4 linked regions of the Caenorhabditis elegans genome follow. The protein of the gene in region 1 interacts with the protein of each later gene in a pairwise test. Each region holds a gene or a part of one and is shown in the gene's direction. Other genes may lie near its edges.

The links.
Region 2: the proteins of ctn-1 (region 1) and ZK131.11 interact in a two-hybrid assay, tested with the Caenorhabditis elegans proteins (2 studies listed by BioGRID).
Region 3: the proteins of ctn-1 (region 1) and slo-1 interact in a two-hybrid assay, tested with the Caenorhabditis elegans proteins (2 studies listed by BioGRID, with this or other methods).
Region 4: the proteins of ctn-1 (region 1) and dyb-1 interact in a two-hybrid assay, tested with the Caenorhabditis elegans proteins (one study listed by BioGRID).

The regions. Positions count from the first base shown.
Region 1 is NC_003279.8:2,605,123-2,609,781, forward strand, and holds the start of ctn-1 (Alpha-catulin), read left to right. Parts: upstream 1-1,618; coding exon 1,619-1,810; intron 1,811-2,089; coding exon 2,090-2,173; intron 2,174-3,065; coding exon 3,066-3,186; intron 3,187-3,738; coding exon 3,739-3,905; intron 3,906-4,659. UniProt on the Caenorhabditis elegans protein: Required for slo-1 potassium ion channel clustering at presynaptic terminals and in egg-laying muscles; clustering of slo-1 mediates the intoxicating and sedatory effects of ethanol on worms.
Region 2 is NC_003280.10:13,790,212-13,795,249, forward strand, and holds the start of ZK131.11 (TORC_N domain-containing protein), read left to right. Parts: upstream 1-2,017; 5' UTR 2,018-2,068; coding exon 2,069-2,127; intron 2,128-3,623; coding exon 3,624-3,710; intron 3,711-5,038.
Region 3 is NC_003283.11:18,490,396-18,495,309, forward strand, and holds the start of slo-1 (BK channel), read left to right. Parts: upstream 1-1,910; coding exon 1,911-2,065; intron 2,066-2,735; coding exon 2,736-2,946; intron 2,947-3,151; coding exon of another isoform or gene 3,152-3,196; intron 3,197-4,621; coding exon 4,622-4,740; intron 4,741-4,896; coding exon 4,897-4,914. UniProt on the Caenorhabditis elegans protein: Potassium channel activated by both membrane depolarization or increase in cytosolic Ca(2+) that mediates export of K(+). Its activation dampens the excitatory events that elevate the cytosolic Ca(2+) concentration and/or depolarize the cell membrane.
Region 4 is NC_003279.8:1,481,218-1,489,093, forward strand, and holds the start of dyb-1 (Dystrobrevin-1), read left to right. Parts: upstream 1-1,865; 5' UTR 1,866-1,888; coding exon 1,889-2,018; intron 2,019-3,501; coding exon 3,502-3,659; intron 3,660-3,705; coding exon 3,706-3,842; intron 3,843-4,636; exon of another isoform or gene 4,637-4,708; coding exon 4,709-4,794; intron 4,795-4,838; coding exon 4,839-5,034; intron 5,035-5,961; coding exon 5,962-6,193; intron 6,194-6,389; exon of another isoform or gene 6,390-6,410; intron 6,411-6,551; coding exon 6,552-6,878; intron 6,879-7,206; coding exon 7,207-7,458; intron 7,459-7,850; coding exon 7,851-7,876. UniProt on the Caenorhabditis elegans protein: Plays a role in cholinergic transmission and as a functional partner of dystrophin (dys-1), necessary for muscle maintenance. Required for localization of ctn-1 near dense bodies in muscle cells.

The DNA.
Region 1 (4,659 bases):
TTTGCCGATTTGCCGGAAATTTCAATTCAACAAAAATTCCCACAAAAAAAATTCTAGGTCATTTCCAGCCAGTGTGCAAACCACCCCTCTTGCAATAATGGAAGAGGAAAAAAATCCTAGGCCAGCACTACAACACCCACCCCTGTTCACATTAATGGCCCCCTCATAAAATAATAATATGTTTCTAATCGATTCGGGTGATCGGTTCGTAGTCGTCACCCATCCATCTCTCTTTCTCTTTCTTCTTCTTTTTCTTCTTCTCACTTCTAGTCCGCGCCGCGGCGACAAGAAGAAGAAGAAGAAACTGGCAAGAGAGAGAGAGAGCCCCACTTTACACTCTTGCTCCCTCTCCCTCTCTGTGTCCGGAGCACAAGAGCTCTCGCAGATGGGGAGCCGCAGCAGCAGCAGCGGCGACGGCGGTGGAGCAAGAACACAAAGTGCCCTCTGCCTTTTAGTCACCCTCTGTTGAGCACAACAACCACCGGGCTCCCCGTGGTCACTTTTCTGGAAATCCTCTTGAGACAGTTCTCTTGATACCATCTCCTTTCTCATTTTTCCCTCTCTTCCGGGTTTTGTTTTTACCCCACAGATTTGTTTTTTTTTGTTTTTTCTTATTGCCGAAAGTGTTCCACTTATATTCCATGCTCCTTTTTTTCTAAAAAAAATTGGTTTTGAACCAAGGAAAATTTAGATTTTTCAATCAAACTTTCAAAAAGAAAGCGGGTACAATACTCAAAGTTTAAAAGCGCATAGCCTATTTTGGGCAATGAAAAATTTTTTCCGCCTTTTTTTCTGATATAAAAAATAGATTAAATTTTTTTTTTTAAAGAAAGACATTTTGAAAGGTCGGCAAATTTTTTCTGTCAATAAATTGGGCGAATTGCCGATTTTTGGAAAATTGCCAATTTGCCGTTTACTTTTCAGATGTAGGAACATATGTAGGAACATTCACAGGAAAAATTTGCCGGTTTGCCAATTTGCCAGAAATTTCAATTCCGGCAAGTTTTTCCGATTTGTCGATTTGCCAGAAATTTTTTCCGATTTGCCAATTTGCCAGAAATTTCAATTCCGGCAATTTTTTCCAATTTTCCGATTTGCCGGAAATATTCAATTCCGACAATTTGCCAACTTGCCTGAAATTTTTAATTCCGGCAATTTTTTCCGATTTGCCGATTTGCCGGAAATTTTAAATTTCGGCAATTTTCTCCGTCTTGCCGGTTTACCGGCTGTTTTATAGTACCAAAAGTTTAAAGGCGCTTAGCCTATCCAGGGTCTTTTTTACCGGATTTCCTGATTTTTTTTAAATAAAAAAATTAATTCAAATATATTTTGGAAAATCTTGATAAAAATAGTTTGAAAAAAATTAAATTGATTTTTTTAATTTTTCGTTTTTTAAACTTCAGTTTTTGGCCAAAAAGCCTTCAAAATCATAAAGTGAATTTCGAATTTTGGGGATACAAATTCACTAATTTTTTAAAAAATATTTTGGGGCTTTGAAACAAAAATTTCAGACTTTTACCCGACTCTCATTCATTTTAATTCCTCCAATTTCTAACCGATTTCCTCCGTTTTTTTTTGATTTTTTGCTGAATTTCATACTTTTTCAATCAATTTTAATATGAAAATTCCAGGTAGGCGCGGCGGTCATCTTGCCAAGAAGATGGCGGCGTCATCGATGTCATCGTTGACGTCCTCATATCACACGACGGCAATGCCGTCCTCGAACTCTGTGGTCCCGCCGTTTGATGCTCGAAATTTGGAAATTAAGACAAAATCCATAGAGCAGACACTTATCCCGCTAGTTACTCAGGTAGGGAGTTATAAAGAATTTTTAATTTTTTTTTAATTGAAAAATGTCTTACGGGGCCTAGAAACCCCCGCAAAAAATTTTGTGAAAGTTATGACGTCACTAGTGACCTAAATTTTTTGTGACGTCACACATGACCTAAAAACTTTTACCGAACATCCTAAAAGATTCTACTTTGGCGCTGCAAAAAATGACATCACCCTTTCTTTGGGCGATTATCCATGTTCATTTCCGTCGTTTGACGGCCCATTTGGCACGATTTATTTATTTATTCGTTTATAGATCACCACACTCGTCAACTATAAAGAAAGTTACATGGCAAGTGGGAAGCCGAAATCTGAACGAGCAATGAGAGCAGCGTTGAAGGTTTGTTGGAAATTTTTTAATCTGAATCTGGAAAAAGTGAAATTTAAAAAAAAGAAGTTTTAATTGAAAATTGATCAATAAAAGTTGAGAAAACTAATTTTTCTTTTGTGTAATTTTTAGACAGAAAAATTCTGAAAATTATAAGAAGAAATTGAAGAATTTTCCCCGGAAAATGTTGAAAGATTCCTAAAAAAAATAACACAAAAATCGGAAATTCTGATCATTTCCTGGGAAAATTAAAATTTGAATTATTAACTAAACTATAGGCATTAAAAAACCTTTAAAAAATCTCTGAAATTTGTTTTAAAACAATTTCTGTGGAACATTAAAAAATCTCGAAAATTTGAAAATTGTAATTTTTTATCATAGAAACTTTTTTAAAAATATTGACCAAAATATTACGGCAAACACAAAATTTGGAGAATGCGTACTGTGCAACATATTTGACGCGCAAAATATCTCGTATCGAAAACTACAGTAATTATTTAAATGACTACTGTCGCGTTGGTGTCGATTTACGGGCTCAATTTCTAAAATAATAATAAATCAAAACTATTTATTTATCAATAGAATATATGGAATATCGCTCTCGTAATTCGGAAAGTAATTATTTTCGAAAATAGAACCCGTAAATCGACACAAGTGCTACAGTACTTATTTAAAGAACTACTGTAGTTTTCGCTACGAGATATTTTGCGCGTCAAATATGTTTCACAATACGCATTCTCAGAATTTTGTAAATGATAAGGTATCCTAATTTTATATTATAACAGTTTTCTAAACAAAATTTTTTAAATATCAATATTAGCATGGAACGGACAAACCCAGTTTGGATAGAATTTACAAATTTTTGTGGAAAATTTTAATTTTTTTAAACTTTTCCTGTTTTCAGATCGGAAGCGCCGTTGAGGCAGCAATCGAACGGTTTGTGTGTGTTGGAGAGACGATAGCCGACGAGAACGCGGATATTCAGCCGGAAATGTATGATGCGTGTACTGAAGCTCGGCTAGCTGGTAAATTTATTTTTTGATACAAAAAAGTCATTGTGAAAATCTGGGAAAACTGGTGGTTTTTGAAGAAAATTTTTAAAACTTCCAAAAAAACTGCCGATTAAAATTGAAACTCTGAAATTTCCAAAAAATTGTGCAAAACCATTTGCCGGTTTGCCGATTTGCCGGAAATTTCAATTCCGGCAATTTGCCAATTTGCCGGAAAAAAATCGTTTGCCGCCCACCCCCTTATGAGAACTACGGATTAAGATAAAATAGCTTATAGACCCCCTTCTCTCAACTGAAACAAAGAAAGGCACCTCATTTCTTCACCCCGGCGGGGTGTCATATTACATGAAACACTCAATGGGTGTGATTATTCCATCGTCATCTATGTATACACGAAGAAAAAGAGCACAAATCCATGCTCACGTATCCAATTACCAGAGCCTCTCCATTTTTTTGCAAAGTGTGTGGGACCTTGTTTAGTCCGAGAGAGCTCTTACCTTTGATCTGTGGAAAGCCAAATTTCCTGCCAGTTTCTGAGATCAAATATAAAAATCCGATATTTTTCAGGTGCTTCAATGGCCAACCTATCATGTGCATGTAACGATGATCCCAACTCGGTGGTGGATAAAGCTGTGCTCGTCCGAGCCAGCAGGCAGCTCTTGAGCAGTGTCACCAGAGTCCTGCTACTCGCGGATCGGGTGCTTGTCAAGCAGGTTTTGAGGGCCGAGGATAAGGTGAGACAGATGAAAAATGTTAATTTTTCAAAATTTCCAAAAATTATTTGAAAATTTTCTGACAAATTTCATTCTGCAAAATCGACAAAATTCCTTAAAAAATAAAGATAAAAAATCTTGAAATTAAAAAAAAAATTAAGACAAAAATCCACCAAATATTGGCAAAAAATCACTAAAGAACCACAAAAATCTACCAAAAAATAGGAAAAATTATCAATAATTGCCAAAAAATTTTTTTTTAATTTGCGGAAAAAATTGTGAAAATTCAGCGAAAATAACTAAAAATTGACGAAAATTGTATGAAAATGTACAAAATTGCTCAAAAAATTGGCCAAAATTTACCGAAAAAATGGAAAAAAAACCGAAAAAAAATTACCAAAATTTACGGAAAAAAAAACCGAAAATTGGCCAAAAAACGTCAGAAATGTACAAAAATCTACAAAAAAAGTGAAGGAAATAATTCACCAAAAATTGCCAAAAAATAGTAGGACATTTTTCAAAAATTGGCAAAAAATGCCGAAAAATTGAAAAATTAATTGTCTAGAATAGTCAAAAAGAAAGCCAAACATTGGTTAAAACGACCAAAATTTACCAAAAAAAAAAAATTTCTAACAAATGGAAAAAAAAACTTACCAAAAAATGTCGAAAAAAGTTACAAAAATTACGAAAAAAAATGACAGAAATTTACAAAAGCCTACCACCAAATTTTTCGAAGTTTTATCAAATCTTTTTTTTTTAATTACAAAAAAAATTG
Region 2 (5,038 bases), on another chromosome or scaffold:
TCCAATTTTGAGTTGAGCTTTTACTATTGTCCAAAAGGAGTACACTCTCCGAAATCTTTTGATCTTTTTCCCCTTCTCGAGAAATTTGATCCAACCTTGCACATGCAGATGCTCAATGACCTTATCATCTGTTTCTTCCCTTTTATTCCCCGCCCGCCGGTTTTACGAGGTTCACCCCTTGCCTCCCCAAGCAAAACTGATGTATCTCAGCGGACACGCACTTGAGCAGAAATTTGTTAAATAGTAAATTGTAGGAAAATGTTTGGGCTACAAATTGTTAGTTGATAAATTTTTTATATCGTCAAAACCAGTAGAGTTATGACGGTTTTACGGCAAAAATTTGAGATTTTAGGTGAAACAATTGAAACATTTATATCTCTTTAGTTTTGAAAATTATGAAAAACTTGTTAACTGGCAAATTGAAACCAATTTTCCAATTTTTTAGGCAATATTTTGCTAGTTGGCAATTTTTTGATAGCTCCCATGGTTACTGAGAAATAGGTGGTTCAAATTATGGATATCCCTGTACCCGTGAGATGTCGGCCGCAGCGTGGAAAACACGATTTGCAGCGGACACTTTACTGGCTTTTACAAAAACTCCGCTACCGCCCGCCACCGCCTGCTGATGCCCGCTACCGGCCTGCTACAGCACCGCTACCGCCCTGCTACAGCACCGCTACCGCCCGCTACCGCCCGCTACCGCCCGCTACCGCCCGCTACCGCCCGCTACCGCCCGCTACCGCCCGCTACCGCCCGCTACCGCCCGCTACCGCCCGCTACCGCCCGCTACCGCCCGCTACCGCCCGCTACCGCCCGCTACCGCCCGCTACCGCCCGCTACCGCCCGCTACCGCCCGCTACCTCCCGCTACCGCCCGTGAGGTGTCGGCTGCTTTATTAACTTTTTCATTTTCATATGCGTCTTGTTCTATCAAGCTTTGTCGCATAAATTCCGCTCAAATTTCCTGAGGGTACATCTTTTATCGCCGACCCGCACCACGACCGCCATGTGCCATTTGTCTCGATAGTTTTATGAGAAGAACAAGCACTTTCCATGTTGACATATGTCATTTTGCCACCACCACACACACACACATATTGATGATGAAGACGAACTATTTGTTCGTTTTCCGATATCATTTACTGCTTCCGCCGCCGTGTTCCTAGTTTTCGGGAATTTTTTACTAAATTTGACATACAAAACTGCTCCCTTTTTGAAAAACTCGGCCACACCATCACTATATAGTCTCAGCTCATCACAGATTGGCGAGATTCGAATTTCGCGCGCTTCTCACATTACCAGGGCTTTCGAGTGGGGTGGGTGATATTTGAAAGAGATGACCACCGCCACTATTATAGTTAGATTTTGAGATGAGGAGTACTAAAATGCATGCAATTTTGGACTCATATGTATTTTGTATTTGTGATTGAAAAAATTGTATATCTAAAAAATGACCCGAGTTATGATTCTTCCCGCAAGTTTACTTTTTTTTTGAAAAATTTATTTTTCCCTCACTTTCTTCGCCTTTTTCTCATTGTTAAGTCGATTTTTATTGTTTAAAATTTATATAAAAATATAGATAAACCAGTCGTTTGAATTTTCCGCCAAAATTGGTTTTATCAGAAAATTAAAATTCCCGCCAAAAATTTTTCTCAGAAAATTTAAACTCCAGCCGATATTTTTCTATATTTCTATTTAAAAAAAAGCCAGAAAAAATTAGCAAGCTTATTAGAATAATAGGATTTTTGAAATTTTCCTACCCCGACTCTATTTGAAATGGTGGCCGAGTTTTGGTTTTTTCGGCCACCACCCAAAAATTCTGGTATAGTACTACTACTACTACATAATATTGTGACCTCTTTCAGCTTCTTCATACATACACTTTCTCTCGCCCCATTCTTCTTATTCTCATATATTTACGTTCCATTCTATTCATTCACTCTCTCGTTTTACCCTATTCACCTTTTCTCCCAATACGCTTCGTTTTTTTTAAAATTTTCTGCAATGATGATTTTCAGAATTATTTGAACTATTGACGTCTACAAACACACGCCTGGGACTCACACAAAATGCCTGACGCCTATATGATGGGCTCGACGGCAACGCTCAATGCTCGTCGGCAGTACAGGTGAGAATTGGGCAAAATTTAAATATTTTTAAAAATTTATAAAAATTAGCTCAATTTTACCGGCTGATATCTCGGTTGTTCCAAATTTTCACAAAAAATTGTCAACTAAAAATGTTGCCCAAAAATTTCTGAAAAATACGTCAGTTGGCAGCTTTTTAATATTCCTAACCATTTTGGAAATTTGCTGGTTTGAAATTGGGTAGTTTTTTTTCAGGTAGAAAATATGTTCGATTAGCCTAACTTTGCCGGTTCATATCTCGGTTGGTTTTGGTTTTATCAAAAAATTGTCAACTAAGAAAAGATTTATTTAACAATTGTCTATATTTTTGTAATTAAAAGTTTATTGATATTTTCAAAATGAGCTGAGATATTAGTAGTATAAGTAGTAATGGTGCTCAAATCGGGCAAAATCAACAATATTTCGAAAAATCGCACAATTTTTAAATTGAAAAAGATATTATATAGAACTATTACTTGTTTAATGACAATAATATTCTAACTTTAAAATTTTTTGTTACATGCCTACGTGCCTACCTCATGCCTGCCTTTCAGTTGAAGTAATTTTTTGAATGTTCAACACTGAAACAGTGAGAAAAAAGGGACCAGGAAGTAGGGACGAGTGTAGGCCTGCCTATGAGGTATATACTGCCTGTTCATGCCTGCCTGCCTACCACCTAGTTTCTGAACATTCGTAAACTTTCCAATTAAATGTTTTGTTTAAATACCTGTTCAACTAACACTAAATATAATCAGGAATGATTTGTAAGTAGGCAAGAGTGTAGGCAAGGTGTAGGTACAAGCCGCCTTGTAGGTAGGCGTATGTCGCAGGCCTACCTATGCCTTCCTACCTACCGCCTAGTTTTTGCACATTTCTCAACTTTCCAATTAAATATTATTTTTCAAATATCTGTTCAACTAACACTGAATATAATCAGGAATATGTGTAGGCGCAGGCCGCCTTGTAGGTAGGCGTAGGTCACCTTGTAGGCAGGTAGGTAGACAATTTGTAGACATATACCTTCTTATAGACATACAGTTGGAGGCAAACTGCCAATTCAGGTTCTCTCCCGATTTCTCCCAATTTCCATTTAGCCACCCAAATGGCATGACAGTTCTCGAAACTAATTTTCTTTTTTGTTATTATATAAAATGCCTATAATTCTTTCATTTCTCGACGTGAAATCCAACGTTTCAAGTTTTCTTAAAACTGATTTTTTTAAAAATATTTTTTGTTGGAAAAATCAAAATAATAATATTCTAACGTATTTTCCTCATTTCCAACTCTGATACTTTCCGACAAAAACAGTTTTCCGAATCCACGTTGGCATGTTTGGAGTATTTCGCAATCCAATATGTTTTATGAAGGCAAAAGGGTTAGTTTTTTAGGGTTGCGGCATGGGGAAATTTGCAGAAAAACATGTAAAATGTACTATTTTGAAGCCAAAGAAAACATCTTAAAAGTTGAAAAATAGTTCCAAAAAATTTTAAACTTTCAGATCGGTTGCATTTGGCACGTGGAAAGTGGGCGGAGCCAGGAATATGACGGAGCGAAGGTCCGAGGAGCCACTTTCAAGACTGAAATGGTTGGTTTTTGACTTTTTTTTCTTAAATTTTATCGTTTGTATGCTAAAAATGTACTGAGAATTGAAAAATAGGATATCGATTATTTGAAACAAATTTTTTAATTCAAAAAAAAAAAATTCCGAATCGATTTTGATTTATTTCAAAATATTTTAAAATTGTGTTGGAAATTCAAAAACAAGTGGTGGTGCCAGGCTGCCCCCCATTACGGCTTGATCTACAAAAATGCGGGAATTTTTCGCCCAAAAAATGTGACGTCAGCACATTCTTAACCATGCAAAATCAGTTGAGAACTCTTCGCGTCTCTTCTCCCGCTTTTTTTGTAGAAATATGTAGATCAAACCGAAATGAGACACTCGGACACCACGTGAAAAAGTTTAATGTATTTAAAAATTAAAAAAAAAATTCTGTGAAAATTGAAAAACCGGAAAAATTTTTGAAAATAAAAAAAAAAAATTAAAAAAAAATTCCAAAAAAATAAATAATTCCAGAGTATTGTTTTAAAAATTCGTTTAAAAAATCCTAAAAATTTAGAAAGTAATGAAGTTTGAAAAAATGGAATTTTTTGAAATTTCGGTAATTTAAAAATAAATAAGTGTGAAAAAAAATCAATTTTTATAAAATTAAATTTTTTGGCAGTTTCAGCAATTTTTTTGAATGTTCTAAAACATATAAAAATCCTGAAATTGGTGGCCGAATTTTCTCCATCATCGGCCACTCTAAAAAGTTTCAAAAGTTTCGAATTCCCCCCCCCCCCCCCCCACTTCGGAACACGAAGCGCATTTTAATGGTGGCAAATAGGATTAGGTGGATAACAATGGGATTGCCCCCGGTTGCCTGTACAATCCTCTTTTTTTCACGGCAAAAGGTAATCCCAGTATCCCCCGATGACTGGTTTTCTCTGCGTCTCCCCCGTCCACCCTCACACTATCGGGGTCCATCCCGTACTAATTGGCCATTTCCATGCCTATTCTTCTGCTGCTGCTGCTGCAACCTGAATCTACAATTGTGTTTCATTTTTCCAGTAGTCGTACTATGTTATGTGTTCATTTCTTTATATATATATATATATATATATATTGTCTTCTCTGCCCTCTTCGTCTGAAATGAGGTGGAACCGCTCTCAAATAAAGAAGACGGTGATTGAGTGGTGGAATTGACGTGATGAATAAGGAATTTTATGAGATTGGACCTAATTTTGTATGGAATAGGTTAAAGGGACATTAGGGGTTTTGATCTACTTGGGTTGGGGGAAAAAGAGCAATATCCTGTGAACGTCCAGTCCTGCCGGGCTTCGGTTTTTTTTATAGAAAAACCGAAAAACGAAAAC
Region 3 (4,914 bases), on another chromosome or scaffold:
ATTTTTTCCAGTTCCCCCAGCCTAAACATGTTAAATTGAATATTCCCAAAACAAAAAAAGTTCCTTCCCTCCCGTTTTCCGCCAATTTTCCAGGCAGCTTCTCCTCCTAAAATGAGGTCGTTGGAGACGCAGACACACATCTCTTACGCATTCCAAATGCTTCAGCTTCTTCTTCTGGCTCGCGGAGCACCACGAGCAGCAGCAGCAGCTTCTGCTATTGCCGGACGGACGGAGGGGTGTATTGATCCATCTCTCTGTGCAGGGAGGGAGGGGGAGCCAGAGAAAGGTTGAGGAGGGGGATGAGAAGAGAGGAGGGGGGAGAATGTGTAGTGTAACTCTTCTTTTCTCCCCCTTCCTCCATATATCTTGATATTTTTGCACACTCACACACACACACACGTTCTCCAGCTCCATACACTAACCCATTAAGTACTATGTGTTCAATTTTCTAATTCTCATAAATTTTCAACTTTTAATTTAGATTTTGATCTACTTTTTTTTGTTTGCAAAAATTGAATTTCCCACCAATATTTTTCTGAAAAAAATTGAATTTCCCCGCCAAAATTAATTCTAAGGAAATTTGAATTTCCCCGCCAAACTTTTTCTGAGAAAATTCAAATTTCCAGCCAAAATTAGTTCTAGAAAAATTTTAATTTACCGCCAAAATTTTTCAGAGAAAATTTGAATTTCCCGCCAAAAATTTTTTTCAGAAAGTTTAAATTTCCCACCAAAATGTTTCTCAAAAAATTTGAATTTTCCGCCAAAATTTTTCTAATTGTAAGAAAATTTGAATTTTGCGCCAATGTTTTTCTGTGGAAATTTGAACATTCCTCTAAAATGTTCCTCAGAAATTTTAATTTCCTGCCAAAATTAATTCTATTAAAATTTGAATTTCCTGCCAACATTAATTCTAGGAAAATTTGAATTTCCCGCCGAAATTTTTCTGAAAAAATGTGAAATTGAATTTCCTACCAATTTTCTCAGACATTAATTCCTTTTCCTAAATTATAAAATTATAAATTATAAATTATTAAAATTTGAATTTCCTGCCAACATTAATTCTCAGAACATTCAAATTTCCCGCCAAAATGTTGTTCTCAAAAAATTTGAAATTCCCGCCAAAATTTTTTGTTGAAAAGCAAAAAAAAAGTTGTTGTTCATTTATTTATTTTTTTCCAAAACTTGTGTTCCAGAACAGCAATTCATCAAGTTTTTTGCTGGTTTTCGATGAATAATGGCGGGGCTCCCTGTGGCATTTTACCATCGAAAAACCAGAATATAAAATATACCTATTATAAATCTGGAGTTTTGAGGAAATTGAGCTTTTGGTCGATGTACCATGTTCTTTTTTTTTTAGGCTTTTTGGCAAATAACTCATTTTTTAAAATTGAAGTTGAGCCATTTATGAAGTCAAATTCAGGCGGCTTTTTACTCCTAGATTGCGTTTAAAAGTCGAATATTGATAGAAATTTTCAAAATTTCCCGATTTTCTCGATGCACCATGTCCCCCAGAGCCGGACATTTTCAGTCAAAAATACGTGGGATACGTGAAATTTCCGGGGAGTTTGTCAGGAAAAATGACAGATATGTCTAGGCACGCTCTACGTCTCTACTATTTTCTCCAGCCTAACTGGTCCATTATGTTCATTTATTCGTCGGGAGGGAAGGCCTCGCTGCTCCGACCTAATTCTTTTCTCACTCTACACACTACTTTTTCCGCTTTTTGTCCCCACCACCACTAGTTTCTGGTGATGACATCATTTTTCTTCGTGAGAAAATGAGCATATTTTATGAGATTTTTAAACTTCTTTGGGCTTTTGGGAAAAGTTTTTTTTTTTTGAGACAAAAAAAAATTTCCAAAAAATTTTCAGACTCGCCGAAAGCCGTCGGGTGGACCCTTCGTCGACACGATGGGCGAGATTTACTCGCCTTCGCAGTCGAAGGGCTTCAATCAACCATATGGATACCCGATGAATTGTAACCTTAGTCGAGTATTCATGGAGATGACTGAAGAAGATCGAAAGTGCCTGGAGGAGCGCAAATATTGGTGTTTTTTACTGAGCAGGTAAGGAATATTGAGCTGAAACTAGTGAATTCGAATTTCTGAGGTTGCCAGCTTTCAATTGACCCCCATCTTGATATAATTTGATGTAGTTTTAAATTTCGGACGCGGCGCGGTCGCGTCGCGGTTGAAAACTAAAATTGTCAAATTTTGAAAAATTAGGCTTTATTAACTACAAAACTTCAAAAATTATTGAAAATTAATTCAAAATGAACTAATTCAAAGCAAGAGTAAACACTTTTGACAGTGGTGCGACCGCGACGCAACCTCGCCGCGTGACCCAAAATCTCAAAATGCTCCAAACCCAGTCAATATGGGGCTTATTTTGAAGCTAGCGACGTAACCAACATAAATAGTTCATTTTCAACAGGCCAAAATGGTCTGTTCTCAAAATTGAAACTTTGAAACCGCGACGCGACCGCTTTGCACCCAAAATCTCAAACGCCTCCAAAACTATCCAATATGGGGCGTATTTTGAAGCTCATGAAGCCACAAACTCAAAGTATCAAGTTAAAAGTGTCAGAGATAGACAATATTAAAAATTTGTTTTTAAAAAAATTCCGACCGCGACGCGACCGCTTTGCACCCAAAATCTCAAACGCCTCCAAAACTATCCAATATGGGGCGTATTTTAAAGCTCTCACTCTTCCAAATCCAACAAAAATATTTTCAGCATCACCACATTCTGCGCCTCAATGATATTGGTCGTAATATGGCGAGTGGTGACACACCTGTGCTGTCAACGCCGAGAAAAAGAGTTTGTGGAGCCCATACCTGCTCCGGAAGCCGTCCAAATAAATATGAACGGGTCGAAGCACGCGCCAAGTGAAACCGACCCGTTTTTGAAGCAACAAGAGGAAAAACACTTGGGATGGATGACAGAAGTGGGTTTTTGAACAAAAAAAATTTAAAAAAATACCTAAAAAATTCAAATTCCCGCCTAATTTTTGTTTATTTTAAGTTAAGTTTTGTCTATTTTCAATTTTCTACATTTTTTCAAATTTATGAAATTCAACAAAAAAAATTTCAAAAAAAAAACCGAAAAAAATATGCACGAAAAAAGTGGGCGGAGCTTGTTCTTATTTTTAGGATTCTCTAGCGATGCAGCTTTACAGAAGTATTCGGGACCGCAGGGCAAGTCCAAAAGTTTTCTGAAAAATTCACTGATTTTTATGGAAAATGTGGAAAATGTTCCCCCTTACCCCGCATTTTTTCTATTTTTCCGAAAACTTTCAGGAAATGTTTTTTTTTTTGCTTTTGTAGTTATCGCATTTTTTTTTATTATTTATTTTATTATTTGAAGTTTGCTGAATTAAAAAAAAAAAAAAAAAAATTTTTACAAAAATGAACCCCTGTGGGGACAATTTTGGGACATGGGACACTCCGGGACCATTTTCAACAGGAAATTCATACACTCCGTGAAATTTCCAAAATTTTGACACCCATATTGCCTATGCTCAGACAAATTTGAAATATGCAATGATTTCGGGCCGTTTCAGGCCGTTTGAGGCCGAATTAAGCCAAAATTACCAATTTCTCAAATATGATCGATATGGGGGTTGTTGAAACGCAAATTTTACGGAGAATTCGAATTTTTCAACTAGAAGTCTCGCAAAGTGACCCATGTCCCCGATTTGTCCCCACAGGGGTGCATTTTCTAAATTTTCACACTTTTCTCCCTATCGTAAATGTTAAGTCGTGTTAATGTGGAAATTTGCATGACCAGCAAAACCCGATTTTTCTCTATATTTTTGCATATTTTTTTCTGCACACTTTTTGGCCACGTGGAGCTGCACTTCTCCACCACCCGCCCACACTTTTTCACACTTTATTTTCGGGACTATTTTCATTTTTGGTAGATATGGATGGGATTGTTCTCTGAAACTAAAGGTGTGTGGTTATATTAGACTTTGTTTGGTTTTGAGTTTTCAAAAAAAAAATTTCAAAAAAATAATTGTTTTCCAAATTTCTAAAATTTTGGAATTTTCCTGAATTTTCAACGTCTGAAATTGTGATTTTCAACCTTCTGATTGTCAGCTTTCATTAAACACCTATTTTGACTAGTTTCCGAGCAGTTTCATTTTTGGTGCTTGCGTTGCGGTCGCGTCGCGGTTTTGAAGCGAAATTCGTCAAAACCTAGTTAAACCAAAATAAATACTCATAAATAAATATTATTTGCACTTGAAAATCAATATTTCAGTTACAAAAACTCATTTTTCACACTGAAACTTAACAACTAAATTTGCGCACGCGACGCGACCGCGCCGCGCCCCCAATTTTTCAAACTTATCGGAACATAGTCAATATGGGGGTCAAATTGAAGCTGGAAACGTCACAAATTCAAATTTCACAATGAAATTTCTCTAAATTAAATTATATTTCCGAAAATCTCAATTTTCATTTCAAAACATGAAGTTTTTTGTAGTTTTAGCGTTTTTCTCCGGACTTTATCCCCTGAAAACTAGAACCGAGTGAGTTTGATGTAGCCTACACCTGTTGAGAATTACCACACATTATTTGTTGGCCTATTTTTAAAACTAAATTTCACAAATTTTTCAGGCCAAGGACTGGGCTGGCGAGCTGATATCCGGACAAAGTCTGACGGGACGGTTTCTGGTACTTTTGGTGTTCATTTTATCGATTGGATCGTTGATTATTTATTTTTACGACGCTAGTTTGTGAGTTTGAGTGTTTAAAAAAAATATGCAAAAAATTTCGAAAAAAAATTTTCGAAAAAAATTTTTTTTTTATAAAAACTTTTTTCCATGTGTTTTAAAATAGTTTTAAAATAGTAACTTTATTATAGATTTCATAAATTTTTCAAAAATTTTCAGCCAAAACTTCCAAGTAGA
Region 4 (7,876 bases), 1.1 Mb from region 1:
ATTTTTCCCGGCAATCGGCAAACCGGCAAATTGCCGGAATCGAAAACTTCCGGCAAATCGGCATACCAGCAGTTTGCCGATTTGCCGAATTTGTCGACAAATTAATTTGTCGCCCACCCCTGATCTACACGAATTTTAAACAAAAAAAAACATTCCGCATAAAACCGCCTCCTTTTAAAATTGTGAAAGTGGAGAAACAAACACACGTTAAGCCAAAATTTCTTTCATTTCGTGGCCTAGAAAATCCAAAAACTTAGGCCACTAATTTTCTCTTCCTCATCCACTTCGTAATATCCCTGTGTATAATGCGTATACTTTTACACCTCATTGAGTTGAGACGGATGGGGTGAGGGGTCCCAATGTTTCAGTGGGGGCCCCCTATCTCTTTTTCTCTGCACTCTCTCTCTCTCTCTCTCTCTCTCTCTCTCTCTCTCTCTCCATCTTTCTCCGTATGCTCACATTCATCCCACCGCTGCTCTCTGAGCCAATACGTCTCCCCCCCCCCCCTCCTCTCCTTTTGCACATCGATCCGTCTTGTGTCTCTCTTTCTCTAATACTCTCTATTTCTCTAAGTCTCTCTCTCTCACTCACGTTTGCCTAAATTCACTTTCTCCAGTGTTCCCTTGAGTGCTCCGAGAGCAAAAGCGTATACCACGAATTAATTTTTAATTCGTGTATTTTTGGCTCGATTTTCCCTTTTTTTTCAACATTTTTCTAAAAATTATTGCTGCAATCGCGCTTTAATGGCAATATTACCTGAAAATTCGTATGTTGTTGCAATGCAATCGCGCTCTATTGGACAAATTTTTAATCCGAATTTTGAAGTTTTCTTTAGTGGAAATCTCTATTGAAATTTTTTTATAAATTGTTTATACAAACACGCTCTAATGATAAAAAGGCTTTAAATTGTGTACTCCGCGTGGAAAAAAGCAAGTTTTTTGTTGTATTTTTTGAAAATATTTTTTTTAAAGAACTTTTTTTGAATACTCTGTGTAGTTCTCGTGGACAAGTTTGGGCCTATTTCGCTTAAAAACCTGAAACACGCGAAATTCCAGTTTCGGGGGATTTCAACTACCCGATTAGAAAAAAAACTTTTTTCACAAATTCAATTTCTGCCGAATCAAAATTCTCCGGAATTCAAGTTTCCGCGAATTTCAACCTAAAAAAATTTTAGCTCAAAAACCGTAAGGTAGTTGAAATCCACGGAAACGAAAATTCCGGCGAATCAAGTTTCCGTGGATTTCAACGCTTATTGAACAAATTTCTACAAAACGCCCCCGGGAGTTCAAATCCGCGGAATCGAAATTCCCTGGGATTTTGATTTACCGGGATTCAAGTGGTGTCAATGGGAGAGGAAATGCATTTTCTCTTACGCGCGTGGTGTCAGAGTGTCTCATTTCGGTTTGATCTACGTAGATCTACAAAAAATGAGGGAAAAGAAGAGACGCAGAGTTCTCAACTGATTTCTCATTCCCGCATTTTTTGTAGATCAAGCCGTAATGGGACAACCTGATACCACGTGACCGTTATTATTTTTCTCTCAATCCTGAGATTTAAAATCCCGCGGAGTCGAAATTCCCCAAAAATATTTTTTGTACTCCTCGTGGACAACCTCGTTGGTTCCCTGAAACATATTGGCTTAGTAATGTGCCAAGCAAATCAGCGCGCATACATGCAAAACCCATTAGGCTCCCCCCAAATGTCTTCTCTCCCAGAGTTAGACTCCGCCCACTAGGAGCCAGAGCTCCCCCAATTTTCTTTGTTTTAAACCCTACCACTTTTTAGCTCTGGCCAGCCATTTTGTGGGTGGAGTTTTGGTTTAAATTTTTTTAAAATTGATTTAAAATTTAAATTTTAAATTTCAGACACTCTGGGTTTTTCTCCTGAAATGTTGTGGTCAAATGGTGGAGGAGGACCACGTGAGCCGAGCAGTGCACCATCACCAGACCATCATCGTGCAATGCATTCTGTACCACCAATTGTGGCATCTGAAATGCAACAATTGATTGATGAAATGCGTGGGTGTTCAATTTTGCGGGAAAATTGGCTAAAAAACGCTAAAAAATTCCCGCGTTTTTGATTCTCCGGAATTTTAACTTCTATGGGATTATTTTTCGGTGGATTCGAATTTTCGGAAATTTTCAATAAATCTTTTTTCATTAGAGATTTTCAAAGAAAAAGTAGAAAAAATACCTAACTATGTAAAAAAAATTAACGGAAAATCTCCACGTTTCTAAGTCTTCGGAATTTAGATTTCCCTGGAATTAAGTACTCGGTGGATTTGAATTTACGGGATTTTTTTTCTTTAAAATTTTTTTCAAATTTATGTTCAAGTTAGCACAGCAAAAAAATTTTTTTTTTAATTCACGTTTTTGAATCTACGGAATCCAATTTCCCTGGAATTTCGCTTCCGCGTATTTGGATTTCTGAGTTTTTAAATATAAATTTTTGCAGAAAATGTGAAAATTACGTGGAAACTCAAAATTCGCCGAAAAAGGACAAAAAATCTCGAGTTTCCAATTTAGCGGAATAAAAATTCCCGGGAATTTTGTTTCCGTGGATATTAACTACCCAAATTTTTTACCATTTTTCTCAATTCCAATTTCAATTTTTTCATGGAAAAATTGGTTAAAAAACGCAAAAAATTCCCGCGTTTTTGATTCTCCGGAATTTTATTTTCTCTGGGATTTTTTTTCGGTGGATTTGAATTTTCGGAAATTTTCAAAGAAAAAGTAGAAAAAATACCTTATTATGTAAAAAATTAACGGAAAAATTTCCACGTTTCTAAGTCGTCGGAATTTAGAGTTCCCTGGAATTAAGTACTCTGTGGATTTGAATTTACTGGATTTTTTAAAACAAAATTTATACGAAATGCTCAAAGTTGATACACTCTCCAAAATGTTCATGAAATTTACAAGTTAACACAACAAAAAATGTCAAAAAACTCCGCGTTTTCAAATCCCCCATTATCGAAATTTCACGGGAATCCAGATTCCAGGGAATTTGGCATTCGGGGAATAAAATTTTCGGATTTTTTTCTATGAAAATTAGTCAGGGTCTGGATAAAATAACAAACGAGTGGAAGCAAAAATTTCGCCGCAAAAAGAACAAAAAACTCGAGTTTCCAATTCCGCGGCATAAAAATCCCGTGAATTTTGTTTCCGCGGATATCAACTACCCGACTTTTTTAAAAACATTTTTTCTCAATGCTCAATGTTGTCGAAAAAACACGGAAATACCTTCAAAAAAAATCCAAAAAAAAAACCCTAAAAATTCCGGTATCCAATTCTACAGAATCGAAAATTCCCTAAGAATTTTGTGGATATCAACTACCCGAGTTTTTTTTTGAAAATTCATGAATTTTTCCGCTACTCCTCTTGAGAAAGGGAAGCTTATAAATAATTCTTCTTTGCGAAAAAGTGCAAAAAAATTATTGGCTTTCATTGGTTAATGCCCAAAGTTCAGAAAAAAAGTTGAATCATCAATAGAGCGCATTTTCAGGTCTCCAAGATTTCGACTCCATCAGATTTGCCACGTATCGAGCCGCCTGTAAACTGCGATTTATTCAACAAAAGACGAAAGTTCATTTGGTAGATATTTGGAATATGATTGAAGCTTTTCGAGAAAACGGACTCAATGCATTACCCCTACATACTGTGGTATGTTGCAAGTGTGCTCTATTGAGAATGTGGGGGAAATTTTCAGATCAAAACGTCACGCGCCGAGCTTCTGCTAACTACAGTATTCCACAATTTGAATAAAAGACTTGTAGCGTCACAACATGTGGACACGGATGTATCGATTTCTTTGCTACTCGCGTTTTTGTTAGGTGCTTATGATAAGTGAGTTTTGGACTCCTCTCGGACAAAAAACTCACGCTTCTGAATCCCCGGAACCCAGATTCCCCAGGAATTTAGATTCGGCAAATTCGAAATTCTAAGAATTTTTTCTTGTGTTACTGCGTGAAAACTGTGTATTTAGAATTCCAATTTTTACTGCAAAAAATAACGAAAAATATTCGGGTTTTCGTGTCTCCAGAATCTAGATTCCCTAAGAATTTTGATTCCGCGTATTGGAATCTACGGGATTCAATCTACACATGTTCTGTAAATAACAGAAATTTTGGTAATATATGAAAAAATTTAAAATCCTAAAACTGAAAGAAAATTTCCGGTTTTCGGATCCGCGGAATTTCACATTCCACCGGAATTTGGTTCCCACAGATTTCAACTATCCGAAATTTTTTCTGTTTTTTTTTGTTTTCAGCATAATGTTTTGATTTTTCAAAAATGAAAATTGACTGAAAGAGCAGAAAAAATCTCAGGGTTTCATATCTCTGGAATTAAAATTTCCCAGTGAATTTTTATTCATATAAGGACACTTTGCAAAAAAATTTTTTTTTGATAAAGTCACGGATTTCTGGCTTCCCTCATAAATTGAAATGGAAGAGTTTTTGCCGAACTAGGCCAGTAGATTTACGGCGCGTTGCGTGTCGCGTCGCGGCTCGATTTTAGTTGTAAAACTAAATGTATTTGTCCGTGTGGAGTACACGACTTTCCCGTCCGGCAGGCGATTATCAATGGAGCGCGAAAAATTCAATGAGGAAGGCCAAAACCCCGTGCGCAGTTAGGCTGTAATTCTCACAACGACACTCCGATATTCCGCTACCTAGAAGTGACGTCACACGCTTCAAAAGCCAATTTTTCAGACAAAATACCGGACGTTTGACGGTTTTTTCAATAAAAGTCGCGTTGGCAACACTCTGCGCTGGAAAATTGGTGGACAAGCTGAGATGTGAGTTGCGCTTGCGAATTTCAAAAAAAAATCTGAAATTTCAGACATTTTCTCTCAAATCGCTGATTCGAATGGATTAATGGATCATATTAAATTTACTGATTTTTTGCAACAAATCCTCTCCCTAACCACTGCAGTTTTCGAAGCACCGACGTTTGGATTTTCCGAAAACGCGGTTAATCAGTGCTTTCATAAGGATGAGAAAGTATCTTTGAATGTGTTTCTGGACACTTTTTTGAGGTAGATATCAATTTTGGAAATAAATAAAAAAATAGATTTTAGAAAAAGTTTTGAAAAAGTTTTGAAAAAATTAACCTTTTACACAAAACTACGTTAGCATGTGGTGCCAGGTTGTCCAATTACGGTTTGATCTACAAAAAATGCGGGAATTTTTTCGCCCAAAAAATGTGACGTCAGCACGTTCTTAATCATGTGAAATCAGTTGAGAACTCTACGTCTCTTCTCCCGCATTTTTTGTAGATCTACGTAGATCACGCCGAAATGAGACACTCTGACACCACGCGCGAAAGAGAAAATGCATTTCCTCTCCCATCGGGGGGAAAACCAGTCCCTCAACTCACCCAGAATAATAATTTAGGTGTCTTGGAAGTTCTGAAACACCTAACATTTTGAAAAATTAGAAAAAATAATAGACGTAGGGCTGAAGTCCTCCCGCGGCCACGTAAGGCATCCCCGTGGCCTAGGATTTTCAGAGCGGTGTAACTTTTGAAAAACTGTAAAAATTTTTTTTTAATTCTGCAATAATTGTATCTATAACTTATTCAATGAAACCAAATCAAAAAATCGAATTTTTCTTTTCATGGGGTCACGGGTCCCCACGCCGCCACCGAAGTCCTCGCCGTGGCCTAGAAACTTTCAAACAGTGCATCCCTAAAGCCACTGCGCCGATTTTCTTGAAACTTTATCAGAACACTTTATATAACAATTTCTATCAAATTATCAAATAAAATCGAATTTTAGTTGTCATGGGGTCACGGGTCCCCCCCCCCCCCCCACGGGGTGACCGAAGTTCTCACCGTGGCCTAGAATCTTCAAAATGGTGTAACTCTATAGCCACTGCGTTAATTTTCTTGAAAATTTATCAACCAACACTTTGAAACCTGTTCTGTCAAATTATCAAAAAATCATACAAAATTAATATTCCAGCGATCCATGTCCCCCATGCATAATGTGGCTCCCCTTGCTACATCGAATGGCGTCTGTGAGCAACGTGTACCATCCGGTGGTGTGTGATGCGTGTCAAGTCAGAAGTTTCACAGGATTTCGGTATAAATGTCAGCGATGCGCCAATTATCAGTTGTGTCAAAGCTGTTTTTGGCGGGGAAGGACGAGTCAAAATCATTCAAATGAGCACGAGATGAAAGAATATTCCAGCTATGTGAGTTTTTTGAAAAATCGATTTTCCACGTGGAGTACACGAAAATGTATCTATAAAGCGCGCGATAAAATTATTGATTTTCCGCCGGCGATGAAGAATCGATAAAATTATTGATTTTCCGCCGGCAATCAAAAAAATCGATAAAGTTATCGATTTTCATTCGACAAAAACGATTAGTTAACAGAGAAATTATCAATTGCTGGACAACAAACAATCAATAAAAATGTAGATTTTCCGCCGGCAATCAAAAATCGATGAAATTATTGATTTTCCGCCGGGCAAAAAAAAAATCGATAAAATTATGGAAAAAAGCGTTCTCAACTCCAAAATCAATAAATCAATAACTTAGTAATTTCAGAAATCGCCGACAAAACAGCTCGTACACTCAATTCACAAAAGTCTCCAATGTATTCCTGCCACGTCAACCGTCGGCGATGCAAACATCGATATTTTTAACGCAAAAATCGGTGGCCCGGTCAGCAGCAAACCTGCTCGACCGCTAAACCTGAACAACATCGTCCCGGCGACACCGACGACGATCCGCCGGCAACACGCTGCCACGTCATCAGCGGACTGGCCGACGTCACCGGTACTTCTGCCGGGACAGGCGTCGCATGGAGGAGTTATTGATGATGAGCATAAGCTTATTGCGAGATATGCAGCAAAGTTGTCGGGAAGGGCTGATGTGAGTTTTTAATCGAAAAAAATCAGGAAAAAATCAATAAAAATCTTGATTTCCCGCCGGCAATAAAAATCGATAAAAATCTTGATTTTCCGCCGGCAATAAAAAAAATCGATAAACATCTTGATTTTCCGACGGCAAACAAAAAAAATCAATAAAATTATTGATTTTCCGCCGGCGATAAAATTCGATTAAATTATTGATTTTCCGCCGGCAATCAAAAAAATCGATAAAATTATTGATTTTCCGCCGGCGGCAGAAAGTCAAATTATTGATTTAATAAAATTTGATCGATTATCGATTTTTCTTTTTAAAAATCAATAAATTGCAGTATCCCCTATCAAACGGTCGAAGTATGAATAGTTCAATGGTCGGAGACGAACGGACCCTTATTGCTCAACTGGAAGAAGAAAATTCAATGATGGTACGGGAAATGGCTCGACTGGAGAGCCAAACAACTTCCGATGACGGGCTCGCCGGGCTCCGCGACCGGAAAATGGAATTGGAAGAGAAAATGTTTGAAATGCAACAGAGGAGGAGAGAATTAATGATGCAATTGGAGCATTTAATGGCTCAGTTGAATGTAGGTCATACCTACTGTGGCTAACGCGCTCTATAGATAAACAATGTAAAAATCGATAATTTTGCAGAATTCAAAAACAATCGTTATATTTTCCTCCAAATTTAGAAAAAATACTTGATAATTTTCAAAAAATTCGAAAAATCGATAATTTTTATATTTTAAGAAAACAAAGTTTTTGGAGTTTTTGATTTTCCGCCGGAGATAAAATCGATAAAATTATTGATTTTCCGCCGGCGATAAAAACCGATAAAATGTGTAAACCTGTCGATTTTTTAAGCTTCAGTAAAAATCAAAAATTCAATATCGGCTTTTCTGAAAAATTCAACCTTCAAAAAATCAATAAAATTAAATTATCGATTTTTTGATTTCAAAACAACAAAAACCTTTTCCAGACGGGACCCCAACCATCAGGAGGTGT